Linked DNA regions of Arabidopsis thaliana. The protein of the gene in region 3 interacts with the protein of the main gene of each other region in a biochemical or structural test. Each region holds a gene or a part of one and is shown on either strand. Other genes may lie near its edges. The genes, in order: FER, SPK1, ROP2 and ROPGEF11.

Region 1 (5,593 bases), on a different chromosome or scaffold from region 3:
GGGATTTGAGCAGTTTCCTAGTCATTACACCTTCAGCGATTGCTTCAATAAGTCTCCAAAAGTGGCTAGAAAACGAGTTGTAAAAGGCCTGGCTAAAGTAGCAAGCATTGGCAACGAACATCAGCAGGTAACTCTCTCGTTCTCATGTCCCTTCTTTCTCACTCATACATACTTTAGCGTATATGTAATTTTCCTTTTTCTTGTTGGGACCAGGAACTCATCAAAGCACTTGCATTCAGCATTTGCGGGCCTGCAGGAGCAGATCAGGCAACCTCTTATAATTTGCGGGCAGGTTCATTTGCAACGATAGAGATAACTCCTTCCCTGCGAAAGACACTCTTGGGGTTTGCTATCTTCGTTGTAGTATCGTTTTCGGATGATAGTCACAACAACGCTGGGCTTGGCGTTAGGTGCGTAAGCAGATGGAAGACAAAGAAAAGGGTGGTCACTGGTAAAGCAGAGAAAGTGTTTAGGTGTTGGGCTCCGAGAGAAGCTCCTGAGGTTCAAAGGGATCACATGTTTGTGTTTTATGAGGATGCCGAAATGCATCGAGGTGGTGGTGAGGGAAACAAACCAAATATAATGGCTGATCACGTTGAATTTGAATTCCAAGCAGTAAATGGAAGAAACAAGGTCTTAGGCGGTAATTGCATGGTGACAGAATGTGATGTTTGTGTTATAACAGCTGCAACTGGTGCGGCGAGTCTGAGTGTAACAAATGCAAGTAAGGATATGAGTTTAAGTAAGAATCATTCTCCGAAGCTTTCAAGTGTGATTGGTAAGCTTCGATTTAAGCGAGTTGGTAGGTTTGGTGGTTGTGTTTGCCTAGAGTGAAGAAAAGTTAAGAGTGGGAACTGGGAAGAGTGTATGTATGTGACTCGTCTCATGCGTGCCCAAATGCGAAGTAGCAGAAACATGTATGTTTGAAATGTAATTTTTATTATTTAAAATTGGCATAAACAAAAAAAAATGTGTTGTCTGAAAGAGAATTAATGATATGTTAATGTAAATATTTAGTGCATGTTTGATGTAATGGTTTAAAGTTTTATTTTATTTTGAAAGACTGAGAAAACAAGGATCACAAACTCTGTTTTGAATCAAGAAGGTGTAGACCAAAAAAATTGCACACGTTCGGCCTTAACCACGGTTTATTTGTATTCAAGGTTACTTGGATTTGACATCGGAGATCAAGGTTACTCCTTACCTTAGACATGATCGATCAAAAGGAGGCTACGCCGATTGTCATAAACATATATCATGTGCACGTTAGATAAGGCCCACTTATAACTGGGCCATAGGAGATAAACTGAAATCAGAGTAAAAAGCCCATGATTACGTAAACTATCCTAACTAACTAACGAGTTATTATCAAAGCAGGCCCCATTCTTTCCCTTTATAGTATAATATAGAGTACCAGCTCAGCCACGAGCAGTCACCACCGCACACAAAAATACGCGTTTCATAAAATTCTCTTGTCTTTTCTTTAGTTTAATGGATTTACTCTCTCACATTTTATGAACTGTCATCCAAACCATACCAATCAACATTATCCTTCGAATGGTCAAGACATATATAATTCCAGCTGTTGATACTCAAAGGTCATTATCGTCACTTCACCCACCTTCAAGCCGGCTTCAATTAATTAAACCCGATAACTATATCTTAATTTAATCTTATTGAAATTAAAATAACGTTAACGCGTAGAGGGAAGCAACAATGCTTGTCCGTTTTGTCGTCGTCTTGACTATACTTACCTCTCCACTCATTAATTGATTTTCTCTCTCTCTCCCCCAAAATATCTCTGTCTTCTCCAAAAACTCTCTCCGATTTCATCGCTTAGGGTTTCTTCCCCGATTCTTCAGGTATGTAATCATCATCATCATCTTCCTCACTTCACTCTCCCTTACTACTGTATTCAAACTTCAATTTCATCTGTTTCTTAAGCTCAATTTTCGTAACCAAACGAACATGTACCTCTAGCACTTTCCATTTTTAGATCTGTGAAGTTTATAGTTTCGATTTTCTTTCGTTTGATAGATCTGAGAAGAAGATCTTCCCGGAGAAGTGCTCTTGATCGATGAAGATCACAGAGGGACGATTCCGTCTCTCTCTTCTTCTTCTTCTTCTTCTCATATCTGCAGCAACTTTAATCTCAGCTGCTGATTACTCTCCAACAGAGAAAATCCTATTGAATTGCGGTGGTGGTGCTTCTAATCTAACCGACACAGATAACCGTATATGGATCTCCGATGTCAAATCAAAATTCTTATCATCTTCCTCTGAAGACTCTAAAACATCACCAGCGTTAACACAAGATCCTTCCGTTCCCGAAGTTCCTTACATGACGGCGAGAGTTTTCCGATCTCCTTTCACTTACACTTTCCCTGTAGCATCAGGTCGTAAATTCGTGCGTCTCTACTTCTACCCAAACTCGTACGACGGTCTCAACGCTACCAACTCGTTATTCTCCGTCTCCTTTGGTCCTTACACTCTTCTCAAGAATTTCAGTGCTTCTCAGACGGCGGAGGCGTTGACTTACGCTTTCATCATCAAGGAGTTTGTTGTCAACGTTGAAGGTGGAACGTTGAACATGACGTTTACACCGGAATCAGCTCCGTCTAATGCGTATGCGTTTGTTAATGGGATTGAGGTTACTTCAATGCCTGATATGTATAGTAGTACTGATGGGACTTTGACTATGGTTGGATCATCTGGCTCTGTTACTATTGATAACAGTACTGCTCTTGAGAATGTGTATAGGCTCAATGTTGGAGGGAATGATATCTCGCCTTCCGCGGATACGGGTTTGTATAGGTCGTGGTATGATGATCAGCCTTATATATTTGGTGCAGGACTTGGTATTCCAGAGACTGCTGATCCCAACATGACGATTAAGTATCCTACGGGGACTCCTACTTATGTTGCTCCTGTGGATGTTTATTCAACCGCGAGGTCTATGGGTCCAACAGCTCAGATCAATCTCAACTACAATCTTACTTGGATTTTCAGCATTGACTCTGGTTTCACTTACCTTGTTAGACTTCATTTCTGTGAGGTTTCTTCGAATATCACTAAGATCAACCAACGGGTGTTTACAATCTACCTCAACAATCAAACTGCTGAGCCTGAAGCTGATGTGATTGCTTGGACTAGTTCAAACGGGGTTCCGTTTCACAAGGATTACGTGGTGAATCCTCCAGAGGGAAATGGACAGCAAGATTTGTGGCTTGCTCTTCATCCTAACCCAGTTAACAAGCCGGAGTATTATGATTCTCTTCTTAATGGAGTGGAGATATTCAAGATGAATACTTCTGATGGTAATCTGGCTGGTACCAATCCTATACCTGGTCCACAGGTGACTGCTGATCCATCTAAAGTCCTACGCCCGACTACTAGGAAATCGAAAAGCAATACGGCTATTATTGCAGGCGCAGCCAGTGGTGCAGTTGTTCTGGCCCTTATCATTGGGTTTTGTGTGTTTGGTGCTTACCGCAGACGTAAGCGTGGTGATTACCAGCCTGCTAGTGATGCAACATCAGGGTGGCTTCCACTATCTCTGTATGGAAACTCACATTCTGCTGGCTCGGCGAAGACAAACACAACAGGAAGTTATGCCTCGTCCCTTCCGTCAAATCTTTGCCGTCACTTCTCGTTTGCTGAGATCAAAGCTGCCACTAAAAACTTTGATGAGTCCCGGGTGCTTGGTGTTGGTGGTTTCGGCAAGGTTTACAGAGGAGAGATTGATGGCGGAACTACAAAGGTAGCCATCAAGAGAGGCAACCCAATGTCCGAGCAAGGTGTACATGAGTTCCAGACTGAGATTGAAATGCTTTCAAAGCTTAGACATCGTCATCTTGTGTCCTTGATTGGATACTGTGAAGAGAACTGCGAAATGATCTTAGTCTATGATTACATGGCTCATGGTACAATGAGGGAGCATCTCTACAAAACCCAGAATCCTTCTCTTCCATGGAAGCAACGTCTTGAGATATGCATTGGAGCAGCCCGAGGTTTACACTATCTACACACTGGTGCAAAACACACAATCATCCATAGAGATGTGAAGACAACAAACATTCTATTGGATGAGAAATGGGTGGCCAAGGTCTCTGATTTTGGTCTATCGAAGACTGGTCCTACACTAGACCACACACACGTAAGCACAGTTGTGAAAGGAAGTTTCGGTTATCTTGACCCAGAGTATTTCAGACGGCAGCAACTGACTGAGAAATCCGATGTCTACTCCTTTGGCGTTGTTCTATTCGAAGCTCTATGCGCTCGTCCAGCCTTGAACCCAACACTTGCAAAGGAACAAGTGAGCTTAGCTGAGTGGGCACCATACTGCTACAAGAAAGGCATGCTAGATCAAATCGTTGATCCCTACCTCAAGGGCAAGATCACACCAGAATGCTTCAAAAAGTTTGCTGAAACCGCGATGAAGTGTGTTCTAGACCAGGGCATTGAGAGACCATCAATGGGAGATGTTCTGTGGAACTTAGAATTTGCGTTGCAGCTCCAGGAAAGCGCAGAAGAGAACGGAAAAGGAGTATGCGGTGACATGGACATGGATGAGATTAAGTACGATGATGGAAACTGTAAAGGAAAGAACGACAAGAGTTCTGATGTGTATGAAGGGAATGTGACGGACTCGAGGAGCAGTGGAATAGATATGAGCATCGGTGGTAGGAGTTTGGCCAGCGAAGATTCAGATGGACTCACTCCAAGTGCTGTGTTTTCTCAGATCATGAATCCAAAGGGACGTTAGAGAAGTCTTATAACACGGTACAACACTACTACCTTTCTAAACCGGCTCCATCCAAAGGAGACCGGTTCGTTTCTCTTTTTTATATTTTTTTTCCTCTTAACTATTTATTATTATTCTCTTTGCTGTTATTTATTTAGAATTTTGGATTTGTGTATTTGATGCCACGATGGAGAGTGTAAAAAATAATGTATTTTTTTTTCTTCTTTCTACAAAAACATTAAACATGAATCGCGTCAATGTACTATTTGGTTTGTTATCTATAACGTTTTTGGTAATTGTTGCATCTTTACTCTATTACACGTCGTACTCTTATGAACAAACTAGTACCCATTTATTACAAAGTCGTACTCTTATGAACATAAACGGAAGTACATCAATCACTTCTCTGTTTTACTATATAGACGCATTTTAACGGAATCCTACCAATAGTGTCTTTTCTTGCAAATATTTTGATTTAAACAAGAAGGGTCAAAGTTGTATATTTCTGCTGATCAATACAAACAAACACTTTGAAAGAAAAAAACAACGAGTAGAAGAACTATGTGTAATGTTTTTCTCTTGATTGCATAAGAATTTAAAAAGAGTGAAACAGGATTATTTTTCCAAGCAGCTCTCTTGTTTTTAACTACAACAAACAGGAAAGAAAACTCAAAAGGAGTCAGAGTCTCAGAGAGGAGAGAATAGATCAGGAGGAGAGTCAAAAGCATTGTCGAAGATGAGAGATTGAGGAGATTCATCATCAATGTTAAGTAGCCAGTTTGTATCCTTGACATCTTTAACATTCAAGAGTGCGTCGTAACGAGCACTATCGTTCTTGTTCTCTGTGTT
Region 2 (4,883 bases), on a different chromosome or scaffold from region 3:
GCTTTATGTACCAAATGCAGTTACAGTGAATGAGATTGAAGCTCTTTACGAACTGTTCAAGAGCATTAGCAAAAACGGGCTTATCGACAAGGTATGCAAGAATCCATAGTCGGACACGAGTACTATATCTCTCTGTTCCTCTACATTCACTAGGATCCTTTCAAATATATTGCAGGAACAATTTCAATTGGTACTATTCAAAATGAACACAACGAGAAGCCTTTTTGCTGATAGGGTAAATTAGATAGACTTGTAACTCACTTATATGAGTTTCCTTGCTGTACACTCATACTTCAAGCTTTGCAGGTGTTTGACTTGTTTGATACCAAGAATACTGGGATTCTAGATTTTGAAGCCTTTGCTCGTTCACTTTCGGTCTTTCACCCTAATGCTAAATTTGAGGATAAGATTGAGTGTAAGTGGTCGAGAGAGACTTGACCTTCTTTTTTTTTGTCATATCCAAACCTTGGATCAAGCTCATCTTTTGTCTCTGCAGTCTCTTTCAAGCTGTATGATCTGAATCAGCAAGGTTATATAAAGAGACAGGAGGTGAAGCAAATGGTTGTGCGGACTCTAGCTGAATCTGGCATGAACCTTTCTGATCATGTGATTGAGAGCATCATAGACAAGGTGGGTTTGGTTGATCTCCTCCATTGACACTAACTAGGATTCTCATATTTAATCTTTGACAAGAGATGTAAAAACTGATTGGTGTGTGTAGACATTTGAAGAAGCTGATACTAAACTGGACGGGAAGATTGATAAGGAAGAGTGGAGGAGTCTTGTGTTGCGCCACCCCTCTCTGTTACAGAACATGAGCCTTCAACATCTCAAGTAAGCTAGCCATGTTATTTGCCTTATTATCTTCTTCGTGCGGGACTAACATGTTTTTGTATGTTGTGTTTTGTGTAGAGACGTAACAAAGACGTTTCCAAATTTTGTATTTCACACTATAGTGACAGACACTCCTAGTGAGCTGGATGGATGATCAGGGATGTGAAGAAAGACCAAAACCCTTTACAAGATCATTCATACTTGATTCTTATCTTCTTCTCCATTACTCTATTACAACCCTCCTCTTTATTTTTAATAAATACGTTCTGAAAGCAGCATTACCTCACATGTTTGTGTATCCGCAAACTTGTTCGGTTTATCTTATCTGTTGGAGTGTGCAAATTGATTCTTTTACTCGGCATTAGTTTTATTTTGTTGCTTCTTCTTTCTTTCTATCTAAATTTGTTAGTTGGAGTAAAATCCGGACAACCATATTTTACAGGGAACCCAAATGGCGAGATAGTTTTAACATGAGAAAGGAAAGATTCATGTGAATGAGAAACTGGTTAACTTGAATCTCATAGATCATTGTATACTTGGACATTTTCCCAAGATTAGAACAAACAATACTAGATCTCTCGAAAATATCTTCATCACAGTTGCAAAGAGCCGTGGAGAACCCAACTCTTGAGCTCAAAATTGTATCAGCTAGTGACGTCAACCATATCGAATATGTCACGGACAAAATGGACGTATACGCCGTCGTTTCAATCAAAGACAACACAACTCAACAGCAACAAGCGGCCAAAACTCCCATTGATATATAACGGAGGTTCTAATCCGACTTGGAATCACACACCGTTAAGTTCTCCGTCAACGAGAGAGAAGCCACGAAGCCCAATAATTATGTTAACCAGTGTAACGTTTTTTCACCCACTTAATTTTTTGGCTGGGTCTGCCTAACATTCTAGGCACAAGTTAAAGAGGTGATCAATTTTTAGAAATTATAACCCTAATGCTAACATGAATGATATATAAAAAGGCCGCAATGGTAGACTATAATGGCAACAACTCTGAAACAATGGCTAAAGATTGGGATTCACCGATTCATAGATACCAAAGGTAACTATGAACTCGTTTACGGTTTATCTCAACATGAATCCGTAGAAACAAATCAACAATCCTAATTTCAATAAAGTGTGACAACTAAATTCTTTAGCCGTATACTTTCTAATTCCATTTTGTTTGGTATAATGAGAATTGGAATGACTTTTGGTGAAAATGGTTACTACTTACTCCAATTCTTTAAGTTGGTTCAGGTGAGGTATCATCGTCTTTGGTCGTCCCAATGATTGACTCTTTTGTTATTTAAAAAGAAAAAAGGGACAGTAGAGTTGGACTCTTGTTGGACTTACAGCTCCAGCTCGACTTTTGCTTTCCTCTTGAGTAATCTTCACTTTTTCTCCCAACTGCTTCCTCTCACGGATCTCTTCCTCTCTGCGTAAAGACAAAGATTCATCCTCCTCTCCTCCTTTAGCTCCCCCACTCAGATCTACTTACTACTCCAACAATGTCCTTTTCCCATTTCTAGGTTTTCACAAATCCCCAATTCTCTCTAATGGCGTAGTAGTACCTCACATTGTATTAGATCTATCTCAATGGAGAACAACAATCTTGGTCTTCGATTTCGTAAGCTACCTCGTCAGCCTCTTGCTCTCCCTAAGCTCGATCCTTTGGTAATTAAACTCTCCTCAACCTTTATTCGCGTTTTCTCTCTCTTTTCGTTAATGTGTTTCTTCTCTTTTGTTTCAGCTTGATGAGAATCTGGAACAATGGCCACATTTGAATCAATTGGTTCAATGTTATGGCACTGAATGGGTTAAAGATGTTAACAAATACGGTCACTATGAAAATATTCGACCTGATTCTTTCCAGACTCAGATTTTTGAAGGACCTGATACTGATACTGAGACTGGTAACTATGATGCATTGTTTATTTTTATTTTTTTTGCTTTTGTCAATTATTGTACATCAATTAACTCTCTGCTTCTTCAGAGATTCGTCTTGCTAGTGCCAGGAGTGCAACTATTGAGGAGGATGTTGCCAGTATTTCCGGGAGGCCGTTTTCTGATCCTGGATCCTCTAAGGTGTCTTCTTTTACTCACTTCATTGCTCTGTTATATATTTCTCATCCTTTGGTTCTTACTTTGAAGGTGTTGCTTTTTTTTTTTTTTTTCAGCATTTTGGGCAACCTCCTTTACCTGCTTATGAACCAGCTTTTGACTGGGAAAATGAAAGAGCTATGATTTTTGGTCAGAGAACTCCTGAATCTCCTGCAGCTAGCTATTCCAGGTTTTTTTTTTTTTGCATGTCACTATGCTTTACCTGATCTTATTATCTTTGTCTGATTTGTACTTCTGTTCCTCTTTATTATCTTCACAGTGGATTGAAGATCTCTGTCAGAGTTTTGTCTCTAGCTTTTCAGTCTGGCTTAGTTGGTGAGGATTCTGACTAACTGCTGTCTATTTTCTGTAATTTTAGTTATTTCAACTTCTTTAAGTTCCTTCTTTATTTCTCTTGCATCCCTGCAGAACCATTTTTTGGCTCGATTGCATTGTACAATCAAGAGAGGAAGGAGAAACTCTCTGAGGATTTTTATTTCCAGATTCAGCCGACGGAAATGCAGGATGTAAGTAACTGATTAGAGCCAACTGTCCTCTTTTTGCCTCTTCCCTTCTCATGATTATATAAAAGGTGATTTCAGTTTTTTCTCACGTCATTTTTGCGAAATTGCCGCCCCTTGTACATTTTCTTGCAGGCTAAACTTTCATCTGAAAATCGTGGAGTATTTTATCTAGATGCCCCATCAGCATCAGTTTGCCTGCTTATTCAATTAGAAAAAACAGCAACTGAGGAAGGAGGCGTTACATCATCTGTCTATTCCCGTAAAGAGCCTGTAATTTCCAAAATCCTGAATTTTCCCTTACTGTCTCTAGAGTCTCTTGCTCATGTGAATGCCTTGGTCTTAGAGATTGTGTCTTTCAACATTTATTTGGAGTAACTTGGAGATAGCCTGTGACTTATAATGGCATATATCATCTGTCTTTACTCTTTGTTTTGATATATATTTTAGAGTAGTCATGGTGATAGCTGGATCTTGATATAACAATTAGTAATTACCCTATTTATGTGAATCAGGTGCACTTAACTGAGAGGGAAAAGCAAAAGTTGCAGGTCTGGTCTCGCATTATGCCTTACCGAGAGTCTTTTGCTTGGGCAGTTGTTCCGCTTTTTGATAATAATCTCACCACAAACACTGGTGAATCTGCTTCCCCTAGCAGTCCTCTTGCTCCTAGTATGACTGCGTCAAGTTCCCATGATGGTGTTTATGAACCAATTGCAAAGATCACATCAGATGGAAAGCAAGGTTATTCAGGTGGAAGTTCTGTCGTAGTTGAAATATCTAATTTAAATAAAGTTAAAGAGAGCTACTCTGAAGAGTCCATTCAGGTAGGATGTTTCTTATCAAATCCCACAGTTTTTACCATGTTCTTTATGATTGTATTTACAGTGCTTTGAACTTCACATGGTGTGGAACATTTTTCATAGATTTTGTTCAATTTGAAAATCCTACTTGCTAGGTACACTTTGGTTGGGTTTTCCTGAACTGGATATGTATCTAAGCAAGTAGAGTTGCATGCACAGTCGATTGACAAAATACTTCTGTATTTAATTGATAACAGTTTTTTTTTGTTTTCTATTTGAATGAATCAATTTTGGTAGCATTTGACAATTAGGTCATGGTGTTTAATTCATAAGTTTTGAGGAATAGAAGTTCTTCATTTCTGTTTTCCCTTCTGAAGTGTAGTTAGTTATAAGTATATTACTAAATACATCACAAGAAAACAAGATTTCCGAGCTCTCTCTTCTTTTACTCACACAAAAAAATTCAGATCTGAATCGTGTTTGGTAACGTCATCAGACAAATAACTGGAATGCTTTTTATTGATATAACATCTTACTGTATATTGCTGCTTTTATCTGGAGGAAATACATATCTAAAATCTCTTTAAACTGTCTTGATCAGTTGGACATACGGAATCTCCTAA
Region 3 (4,648 bases):
TGGTCGTATTCAGATTGAGCTTCAGTGGAGAAATTCTTCTTGACTTCAAAGGTTCGTGTTTTCTTCTCTTAGGGTTCACGAAACAACACTTTTTGTTTGCCTTCCTTCCTATGTACGTAAAACTTCTATATTTGTTGCATGTTGGTTGCTATGGCTCGATTCGAAGAATAATGGGTTACACAGTATAATGGGCCACGTATAAGCCTTATAGTTCATATGGATTTTATTGTTTGGACCTTTTGGTTTATTTCTTGTGACATTTTCTGATAGTTTTTTTTGTCGTTTCTGAATTATTTTGCAGCTTATTGGATTATGGCAATAGTGATTATGGATTGTCTTTTTCATCTATTTCTTAGAGAATTCTGGTCAGTAATTGAATTATTCTATCAAAAAGGAAAAAAGATTTTTGAACAGAAAAGAAGTGAAGTTAGTTAATAAAGAGAGATTGGTCACTGGTTGGTGAATACTGAATAGTTGGTAAGCTACTAAGCTTAACTTCTTTGATATCATGATTTGGTTAATTCATACTTTTCGTGTACAATTTAGTGGTTTGTGCTACTATCATTGAATGTGATTATTTAAATCCAAATCCACATGATAAATGTTTATTAAAAAAATTATGAGTGGTTAAATTAACACATAATTTTGTACGATTTATCACGGTCATTTGATAAATATTTGTGGATAACTTTATTACATTTCTAATTTTCATTATTAAACTCAGTAAGCATATAATCAATATAAGCAATTTCTTTTTTGGTCAGCAATATATATATATATATATAGTCTTATGGAATGAAAAAGTTGAAAATAACACATGATGGCAATTAGCTACTAATTCATCAAGTTTGACAAATAATTATAAGAAGCTACCGTCTGGTGTGATTATGATTAGGTGATGGGACAATCAGTGACGTGGTGGATCGTTAGTGGATTGATTTAGTTAGAGTTGGGCACGTCCCATTGGACTCTAGTCGCCTATGTTTCGTAATCCGAGGGGAATCGAAAAGAGAAAATAAGTAAAAACATCATAAATAAGACATTTATGAATCGTGCCGGCACGTTCTTGATGAGTGAGAGTTGCCAAATCCAATGATTAAAGATTTCATTCATGCCTCTTCGTATTTTGCTTAAGTCTCTCTCGTATGCCATTTTTTTTTTTTTTTTGCTATACTATAAAGTCTATCTTAGATCATTTGAATTTACCTCCCTTGATACATTACATACGAGAGAACTGGCAGTTGTAGAAGATGTTGTGAATGGGAGTCTTATAACTGGATATGCGGATTCAAATTCGCTAGCTAAAGAAAGTTTTTATTTGAAGAAAATCTATAGTTTTGAGACGGTATAATATTTTACCAATTACTATTTGTAAAATAATCGATACATGGTTAAACTAAGTAAGATAACAACTTTTAGTTGTTGTTTTGGTGAAATGATAAACTTCTATGGAATTCTTATCTTGTTTTGGTAGGTACCAAGAGGATTAGACAGATAAGCGACTTCGTTTACTGCTAATATTGATAATCAAAACTTCGTTAGCTATGTTTTAATAAAGTTGTGAACAAAAAGAATGTTATGGAAAACTGCTCAAAACTGGATAAGTCTCATGCCAGTAAGAATCAAAGTGGCAGTGCAAGTCCAAAGACACAACACACTAGGATTTTGAAACTTGCATTGTTCAGACAATATATGATAGTTCAAAATATTACCTTACTAAGATTTCTCTAGGCTTCATGTCAATGATTTAGTCCAAATTTAAGAGACAATTTTAACTCAAAACAACAATGAAAATATGTATCACAATAAAAAAGTGTTAAACGAAATATATTATTAAAAACATTTAAAAACTGTTGAGAAACCAAAGAGATAATACAAAAACATTCATGACAATTGTATTTTTCTTGTTGTTTAAAAAAAACTGACAGATCTTCTCCATTTCAAAATTCAAAATCCGTGACATAAAAGAAAAGAGACTTTCAAAATTTTGAAAAAAGAAAAATAGAGGTGAAAATAAAAAGTATAATATAAATAAAAGGGGAGTGAGTGTATATGATAAGGAGGTGTTTGGTGCTGTTCTCTTAGCTGTCTCAGAGTTGTTGTTTTTCTACTAGTCCCCTCCTCCTATAGGCTCCTCTCAAAGTCATCTATCAACCGCCAAATCAACCTTCTTCTTCTTCTTTTCCTTCTCTCTTCGATTCTTTTTCGAATTTGGGTGATTCTCAGATTCACAAGCTTTTAGAGCTCGAATTTGATTGGCGAGCTAGAAATGTCGAGGTTTTGAGGAAGAAGCAACCACAAAAGAGGATTGATTTTAAGGGCTTTTTTGTTTGTTTCCGATCTTGCGGCAGAGATGGCGTCAAGGTTTATAAAGTGTGTGACCGTCGGAGATGGTGCCGTCGGAAAAACTTGCATGCTCATTTCTTACACTAGCAATACTTTTCCTACTGTAAATCTTTCCTCTCCTATTTCAATATCTCTTCGGTTTCTTATTTTTTTGTTGAGCTCGTTGCAAGAGTAGATTAGTGATCTGCAAGGTTTTTGCAAATTGGATTCAGGTGTAGATTTTAGGTCATGGAGCTGTATACTAGAAATTGATCAATTTCGTTACAACTTTTTTTGTTTTAAGACTTTGAGAATCTAGGCCAAAGTATTGATCTTGAAGCTACTGTGTTTTGTTTTTGCTTTTTATAAAGGATGATTTTGATTATAAGGTGTAAATCTGTGACTTGTGATTGGTGTTTCAGGATTATGTGCCAACTGTTTTCGACAACTTCAGTGCTAATGTGGTTGTTGATGGCAACACTGTCAATCTTGGATTGTGGGATACTGCTGGTAATTCTTTCGTTTCACCGTTTGGGATTTTCCTTTTGTTTCGGTTGTTTTTGACTTAGTTTGTGTTTGTGGGGTTTGTTAACAGGTCAAGAGGACTACAACAGGTTACGACCTTTGAGTTACCGTGGTGCTGATGTTTTCATTCTTGCTTTCTCTCTTATTAGCAAGGCTAGCTATGAGAATATAGCCAAGAAGGTTTGTCTCTCTTTTGCTGATAAATCCTATACAGTTTGTGTTGATGAGTGATCTTATTTGATTTCGTTCCTCCTCTCTCAGTGGATTCCTGAGCTCAGGCATTATGCTCCTGGTGTTCCCATTATCCTTGTTGGGACAAAACTCGGTAATCACACACTTTCCCTATTGAACTGATCATGCTATTTTTTTGACTGAAAGATCTGTGGTTACGTTCCTACAAGCCTTGTGACACCAACGAAGTTGTTAAGTTTTCTTGCAAAATTTGATTGTTAAGTCACTGGTATTTGCTGCAGATCTTCGAGATGACAAGCAATTCTTTATAGATCATCCTGGTGCTGTGCCAATTACTACAAACCAGGTACATATCCTTTTAAACGAATAGTCTTGCAATGATTGCCAGTTCTTAATAGAATTGTCTGATGTTGTTTTGAATGATGCAGGGAGAGGAACTGAAGAAACTGATTGGATCTGCTGTCTACATTGAATGTAGTTCAAAGACACAGCAGGTATACATAACAAATCGCTTGTCCTGTTCCTCACTGTTTGCAATATTTGATCTTATCAAGAGGGTGAGCTTTATTTCTTTCCTTTTGGTGTTTCTGCAGAACGTGAAGGCAGTGTTTGATGCAGCTATAAAAGTGGTGCTTCAGCCACCAAAGCAGAAGAAGAAGAAAAAGAATAAGAACCGTTGCGCGTTCTTGTGATAAGAAAAACCTCTAAGACTAGGTAAAACCAACTAAAGAAAGAAGCAGAAGATGATTTCAACTATTTGATTCGGCCCATTTTAATATGATAATTTCGACGTGAAGGGAGACATTTCTAGTAGCTTTTTTGTATAGTTGCTAAAACGAGCTTTGTTGTTGTTGTGTCTTTTACTCTTTGCTGGTGAATCTTTCGAGTCCACAGACTAAGAGACCGTGTGTTGTACTCTTGCTATGTAGACTAATCTCTGTCTCTCTTCTCTTTTGTTCTTGAGGATCATTTTGTATTAACAAATGAATCTAATTAATATTTGCAACGTTTATTTTGTTTTTAAGAGCTCTTGTTTTCTGCTTCTTTCCCACAAGATGTATATTCATGTGATCTTACCAAGCATCATGCTTAAAGAGATCTTTCTCCAGCTGCCTAAGCAAGAAGTTAAACTGGGGAACGGCTAAACCAGTCAACTTCTTGCAAGAAATTGCTTATTTAAAAGTAGCCAGCTTTTGCAATCGCATTGATCAATTCAACCAAAAACTTCCAGTTGACAAAAATCATGTAGACGATAGTTTAGTAAGTGGAAACCATGATTTTTGATTAGTGTCAAAAATACAGAGATCGTTCAAGTATCATAGATCACTGTGATTGTTACAATGATAACTGTACAAAGCTAAGGCCTAAGGCTAAGCTGAGAAAGAACAAAACAATATGGGACCTAAAACGGGACAGTATATGGTAATGAAAAAATTCCAACTTCAGACAATAACATAGCTCTAGGCAAAGAGGAACAATCTCTTGACGTCTGCAAGCTCATGATCGTGTCTTCATCAGTCTTATAAGAAGACTTGGCAGAAGAAACATTTTCTTTCCGACTTGTTCCAAAAAGCCAGTCATCGCTGCTGCTATCATCTTCCTCCAA
Region 4 (5,033 bases), about 12 Mb from region 3:
AAACCTTCTCGCCAAAGCTTCAAAACCAAATCCACCAGGTAAAGTTTAAAGCTTTGAAATTTGGAATCTTGGATTGACATTGATGAGGATTGGTATTAAAGAAAGGATGTTACTTTTGATTGTTTGTGTAGAGCTGGTGCTGTGGTGGCTAAGTATGGAGACAAAAGTGTATACTTTGATTTAGAAGATTTGGGTAACACAACAGGACAATGGGATGTGTATGGATCTGATGCTCCTTCTCCTTATAACCCACTTCAGGTTTTTGTACACTCTTAAATCTTTAGATCTATATGCTTCTTCAAATTCTAAGACTTTGTGATTATGTTGCTTGCAGAGCAAGTTCTTTGAGACATTTGCTGCTCCTTTCACAAAGAGAGGTTTGCTTCTCAAATTTTTGATTCTTGGAGGAGGCTCTTTGCTTACATATGTTAGTGCGAACTCTACCGGCGATGTTCTTCCGATTAAGAGAGGTCCTCAAGAGCCACCTAAGCTCGGTCCTCGCGGCAAGCTTTAAATTAGCTTTCTAAAATCTTTCAAAAAGTCAGAAACTTTCTCCCCAATTCTATGAACCCTATTTATGTATATTGTACTGTGTTGTGTTAATTGCTTTGTAAGCTAGTGATTCTGAAAATCAGTTATGATGAATCAATGAAATTGCATTTCAAGTCTGCTACAACACACAATGGTGCATTTTGTGGAATCTTTAAGCAGATTGAAAATGCAGTAAGAAGCCCTAATTTAACAAGAACGGAAAAAAGAAACCGGTTTCTCTCAGGAGTATCTTGCGGTTGGACTCCTCATAGCTCCAAGATTATCAAGATAAGAACTCTTCTTGTTGTTAGTCATTATACCTGTGACTTTCGACAACAACGGTTTCTCTCTATCTCCGAAAAAGCTTTCTTTCTTCATTTCATTGTTTTTGTTACCCCATTGCATAACATCAGAAAGTGTTCCTGAAGCCATATCCTCTGTGAAACTTAGTCTTTCCTCTCTTAGTTTCTCATTCTCCTTCAAGCTATATCTGTTCTTAGAAGGTGCATTATTTGTAGGTTCTTGAGTAAGCTGATCAGCGTAAAGCACGTCTTCTATTCTCGACATCACGGTGTGAGCTAAACTCTCAAGCACTCTTGAATAACTCTCCAATATCGCAAGTCCTACATCCTGCAACAACAATTATCCAATAATGAGATTTTCTCATGACCATAGAGAAAACACAATCAAAATGTATTTGGAAGTTAAGAGTTTTAAATTACTCTGTTGAATTGAATCTTGCTGATATCGAGCGAGGACTGTGAGATTCCGGGAAACCCTTGTTTTAATAGTAGCAAGATGGTTTCAGCTCTTTCTTCAAACTGTTCTCTTTTCTCAATACTCACTGTTGATCCCCAAGGAGACTTTGTGTCCTTCTGCACCATTTTCCTCTTCCATATCACAATCGATGCTTCGATTCTGTTCTTTAGATCAAGAATCTTGTGCTCAGATGATAAATCCATTTCAATTAGGAATTGATCTGCATCAAACATCTCTACTGTTATCATTCTGTATATCACATCTCCCAAGCTAGCTCTCCCATTCTGTTCTCAACAACACACGAAAACATCGATAAGGACTAGATCAATAACAGATTCTTGATGAATGTTTTTATGTGTTTATTAAATAACCTTAGGAAGTGACTCAAGGTAGCTTTCAGGAATCTCCATTTCAGACAGAACTTGAGCGTTTATCGCCATTGCAGCTTTAAGGACTTGATTCACACATTCCTTCTGGCTCTGTAGAAACCTTCTTGATATCTCTGAGAGGCCGTTAGGTGGGACTTTTACTGCCGGTAACCACCATTTCTCATCGTTCCTTGTCTCGCAAGAATCAGGAGAATCTTTTTTAACATAATAAAACTCATCCTGATCCTTGAATTTATCAAGACAATCCTGCAAGAGAATGATTATAAATGTGAGATTAATTATTTAACAGCCTTTGATTAGTATATTTTGTGCTGTTGTTGTTTGTTCTTCTTACGAGAAGCATAGCATCGAGTTTCTTAAGTGCAGGGATGTTACAGAGAAGATCTGTTCTTTGTCTTGTTGACATGACTTCCATTGAAGTACCATCTTTGTTTGTTTGTTGTGTTGGAGCGAATTCAACTATATAATCAGCCACAGAGATAAGCCATCCAATTTCTCTCCTCCAACGCGTTTTTCTATCCACCGCCATTGGCTCTAAACGCCGTTGTTCTCCAAACGCAGACGCTGCAACAACAAAAAAATTACAGAACTTAACATCAAATTGGTGATAAAATTGAAAATTTCCATGGAACTGAAAGATTTGGGAAAAGATCTTACCTGCGAGATTGGTAATGGCGTTAGATAAAGCCAAAGCCGATGAAACACCTTTTCCTCCTCCTGACATATCTTCTCCAAGAAGCAATTTCGAAAATTTCTCTTTCATTTGCTCCATTGCTGTAATAACAACAACATATACTTTAGTTTTTGCCCTAACTTATAATCCAAGATTAGTACTTTGCCCCTAACTTGCAATCCAAGAAACCTAGAAGATATGAGCCAGTTCATTAGATTTTACCTGCTTGCAATATTATTAGTGCCTCCATGGAATCCGATGAAGAGACTCTCGGAAGCTTGTCATTGCGATTAGGCGTTACTCCGCCTATAGGCAAAGAAGGTCGGTCAACGCTGCCACATTTTCCGGGTTGACTCCTAAACATCATCATGTCATTATCATCATCATCCAAATTGTCAGAACCATCCATTCTCATTGCACAATCTGAGCTCCAGCTTTTAACATGTCTTGAAGCTGAGTTTTCGTTCATGTTCTTGAAATGAAACAATCTTGATTTGTAAGTCTCTTGTTCTTGCTCCATTGCTTTTACCATTAATTACTAGTTAATCAAAACAATAAAAAAAATGAAAAGATTTCTATGATTTGAAAATTCTTTTTAATCTCCATTTGTTCTCCTCTTCGTGTAATAAAGAGGAGTTTTAGGAGATCATGAAGAAAAAACAAACTTAATTAACCAAAAAACGGTGTTTGATTTTAATTTCAGACTTAGCAAATACAGAACACCATCATTTGACTTCTGTTAATGGTTTTAGTTTTAACCTGATTATTTTAGTAACTATTATGATTCGTTGTCCATAACCATAAACAAGTAGTGAATTTGGTCAGATTCTTCAGGGGAAAAAAATAAGAGGATATTTTTAATTTTCTTGAAATGTTTTACTATTTATAAATTGATACTTGGTGGAATGTGGGCTGCACGTTATTTGAAAGTTGAATTTCTCCACACACATAAAAAAAATCTCAATCTTTTTCTTTAAATCAAACATTGAGATGTAGGGAGGACATGTTACTGACATTATCTGTAATATCATTTTTGTTTATGTCTTGTTGTATTAAAAAAATCTCAGTTTCTCAACTAAATTAAGGATTATGGATGATAATGTTTTCCTCAATTTTGACCTCTCTCTGAATTTCTATCAAAGTAAAAGTTTAAAATAAATTTATATTATGCTAATGATAGATTAGTCTAAGTCAGTCTAAGAAATTCTCTATTTGTGGCTGGGCAATTATAATTGTTTGCATCTCAACTAAAAGAATATAAATATAAAAAATCTTCTGCATTTCACTTTTATTGATCACAAAAGCAAACACTTGTAAAAATGAAAAATCTTACATCATTGAAATCAACTTCCTCTCTTAGCTTGGGCCTATTTACAAACTTAGAATTCAAACAAAGCTAAAGATCTTGATAGTCTTAGCAAGATTTTTTTTTCTCAGATTTTCATAGAAGCAAAAGAAAAAGGAAAAAAAAACATCCCCATGATTAGGGTAGTGTAATTAAGGAGTAGAAGCGCCTTTAAAGATGAGGAACTTAAGTGTCTCCAATTGAAAATAGATAAAAGTCCCTTTAGAATGTGTGAAGAAACACCCAAAATTTGATCCCACCACACATTGCCATCCACTCCCATATCTCTCATCAAACTCCTGAAAATTCATTATAGAACAAACAAAATTAACCAAGTAGTTATATATAGATGATAATGATGTATTTATGACTTATAAATAGAATTGAAGAAAATCATTACTAATACCTTCTTGATGTGACCAGCAATGGATTTACAGTCAAAGACATCAAAAAGGTCAAGAGCTTGAGAAGCAAATGCCATAGCTTGCATCTGCATCTTCACTGGCATGTCTGAATCTTCCACCATTGCTTTGCCTTCCAACATCTTTCTCTATCTCTCTCTCTCTCAATAACTCCAAACGTTTTTCAATTTTTTTGATGAGAACTAAAGACAAGGGAAGCTTTGGATCTTTATAGGCTCCTAAAAGACACAAAATGAAAAAAAGATTCCTTCAATATCTAATCTTTATCAAGAAAACCCATACAAAGATAAATAATGTCTCCTCTTTGAGGAAAAATATGGGAAAATGTGCCTAACCTTTTTCTTTGTCGTCTTCTCTTCACTGGGATTACTTCCTCACGGGTTCTTGGATTCAAAGTCTTTTCAAGAAGAAATGTACGTATAAGCATTCAAAAGAATGGCACGAACGAACACAACTGTTCTTTAAATTTAGTCAAAACGTTGATAATTTCAAGATGACAAAGCTGATCAAAGAAACAAAGTTGATAATTTGAAGACTAAAAAAAGGAACAAGACAGTTAAGAAAAAGTATAATAAAATAAGGTGTAATGACTCATTTGAGCAGATATATGTGTCTCTCTCTTACGTGTGTCCAAGTATTTTTTGTCTTTGACGTTTAATGGATAACGATGGAGAGGTGCATAATTAATTAGTTAAATAGCTAACATGTGAAAGAAAAAAAATGTAATTAGCTAAGCCTTCCACAAAACTCGTAAATATGTCGGTGTAACAGTTGGGATTTATAAGCCCATTAAGAAGGTTTAGGACCCATTGATCTAGCTAGCAACCTATGCTAGTTCTTGAAGAATTCTCAACTTTTTAATGCAAATGGTGTGTTTAATCTTTTTATGCCCATTGGAGTTTTGGATAGAAAAC

What was found.
Region 1: the proteins of ROP2 (region 3) and FER form a complex in vitro, tested with the Arabidopsis thaliana proteins (one study listed by BioGRID).
Region 2: the proteins of ROP2 (region 3) and SPK1 form a complex in vitro, tested with the Arabidopsis thaliana proteins (one study listed by BioGRID).
Region 4: the proteins of ROP2 (region 3) and ROPGEF11 form a complex in vitro, tested with the Arabidopsis thaliana proteins (one study listed by BioGRID).

The regions. Positions count from the first base shown.
Region 1 is NC_003074.8:19,117,049-19,122,641, reverse strand, and holds FER (Malectin/receptor-like protein kinase family protein), read left to right. Parts: upstream 1-1,692; 5' UTR 1,693-1,862; intron 1,863-2,037; 5' UTR 2,038-2,077; coding exon 2,078-4,765; 3' UTR 4,766-5,058; downstream 5,059-5,593. Other genes in the region: AT3G51560 (Disease resistance protein (TIR-NBS-LRR class) family), read left to right, coding at 1-127, 214-834; AT3G51540 (mucin-5AC-like protein), read right to left, coding at 5,432-5,593. UniProt on the Arabidopsis thaliana protein: Receptor-like protein kinase that mediates the female control of male gamete delivery during fertilization, including growth cessation of compatible pollen tubes ensuring a reproductive isolation barriers, by regulating MLO7 subcellular polarization upon pollen tube perception in the female gametophyte synergids.
Region 2 is NC_003075.7:9,238,610-9,243,492, reverse strand, and holds the start of SPK1 (guanyl-nucleotide exchange factors;GTPase binding;GTP binding protein), read left to right. Parts: upstream 1-1,863; 5' UTR 1,864-1,896; intron 1,897-2,093; 5' UTR 2,094-2,432; coding exon 2,433-2,510; intron 2,511-2,586; coding exon 2,587-2,749; intron 2,750-2,829; coding exon 2,830-2,921; intron 2,922-3,013; coding exon 3,014-3,126; intron 3,127-3,216; coding exon 3,217-3,272; intron 3,273-3,365; coding exon 3,366-3,463; intron 3,464-3,592; coding exon 3,593-3,730; intron 3,731-3,972; coding exon 3,973-4,284; intron 4,285-4,883. Other genes in the region: CBL6 (calcineurin B-like protein 6), read left to right, coding at 21-91, 176-235, 307-415, 497-630, 722-834, 913-988. UniProt on the Arabidopsis thaliana protein: Guanine nucleotide exchange factor (GEF) for Rho and Rac. GEF proteins activate small GTPases by exchanging bound GDP for free GTP. Controls actin polymerization via the two heteromeric complexes WAVE and actin-related protein (ARP) 2/3.
Region 3 is NC_003070.9:6,964,870-6,969,517, forward strand, and holds ROP2 (RHO-related protein from plants 2), read left to right. Parts: upstream 1-1,972; 5' UTR 1,973-2,353; coding exon 2,354-2,449; intron 2,450-2,747; coding exon 2,748-2,835; intron 2,836-2,920; coding exon 2,921-3,030; intron 3,031-3,111; coding exon 3,112-3,175; intron 3,176-3,323; coding exon 3,324-3,388; intron 3,389-3,470; coding exon 3,471-3,536; intron 3,537-3,635; coding exon 3,636-3,734; 3' UTR 3,735-4,140; downstream 4,141-4,648. Other genes in the region: SYTB (Calcium-dependent lipid-binding (CaLB domain) family protein), read left to right, coding at 1-43; AT1G20100 (DNA ligase-like protein), read right to left, coding at 4,445-4,648. UniProt on the Arabidopsis thaliana protein: Inactive GDP-bound Rho GTPases reside in the cytosol, are found in a complex with Rho GDP-dissociation inhibitors (Rho GDIs), and are released from the GDI protein in order to translocate to membranes upon activation.
Region 4 is NC_003070.9:19,454,995-19,460,027, forward strand, and holds ROPGEF11 (rop guanine nucleotide exchange factor-like protein), read right to left. Parts: upstream 3,076-5,033; 5' UTR 2,885-3,075; coding exon 2,575-2,884; intron 2,454-2,574; coding exon 2,337-2,453; intron 2,244-2,336; coding exon 2,014-2,243; intron 1,926-2,013; coding exon 1,662-1,925; intron 1,575-1,661; coding exon 1,254-1,574; intron 1,162-1,253; coding exon 772-1,161; 3' UTR 515-771; downstream 1-514. Other genes in the region: PSAH2 (photosystem I subunit H2), read left to right, coding at 1-38, 132-258, 335-514; AT1G52245 (dynein light chain LC6, flagellar outer arm-like protein), read right to left, coding at 3,850-3,996, 4,104-4,241. UniProt on the Arabidopsis thaliana protein: Guanine-nucleotide exchange factor (GEF) that acts as an activator of Rop (Rho of plants) GTPases by promoting the exchange of GDP for GTP.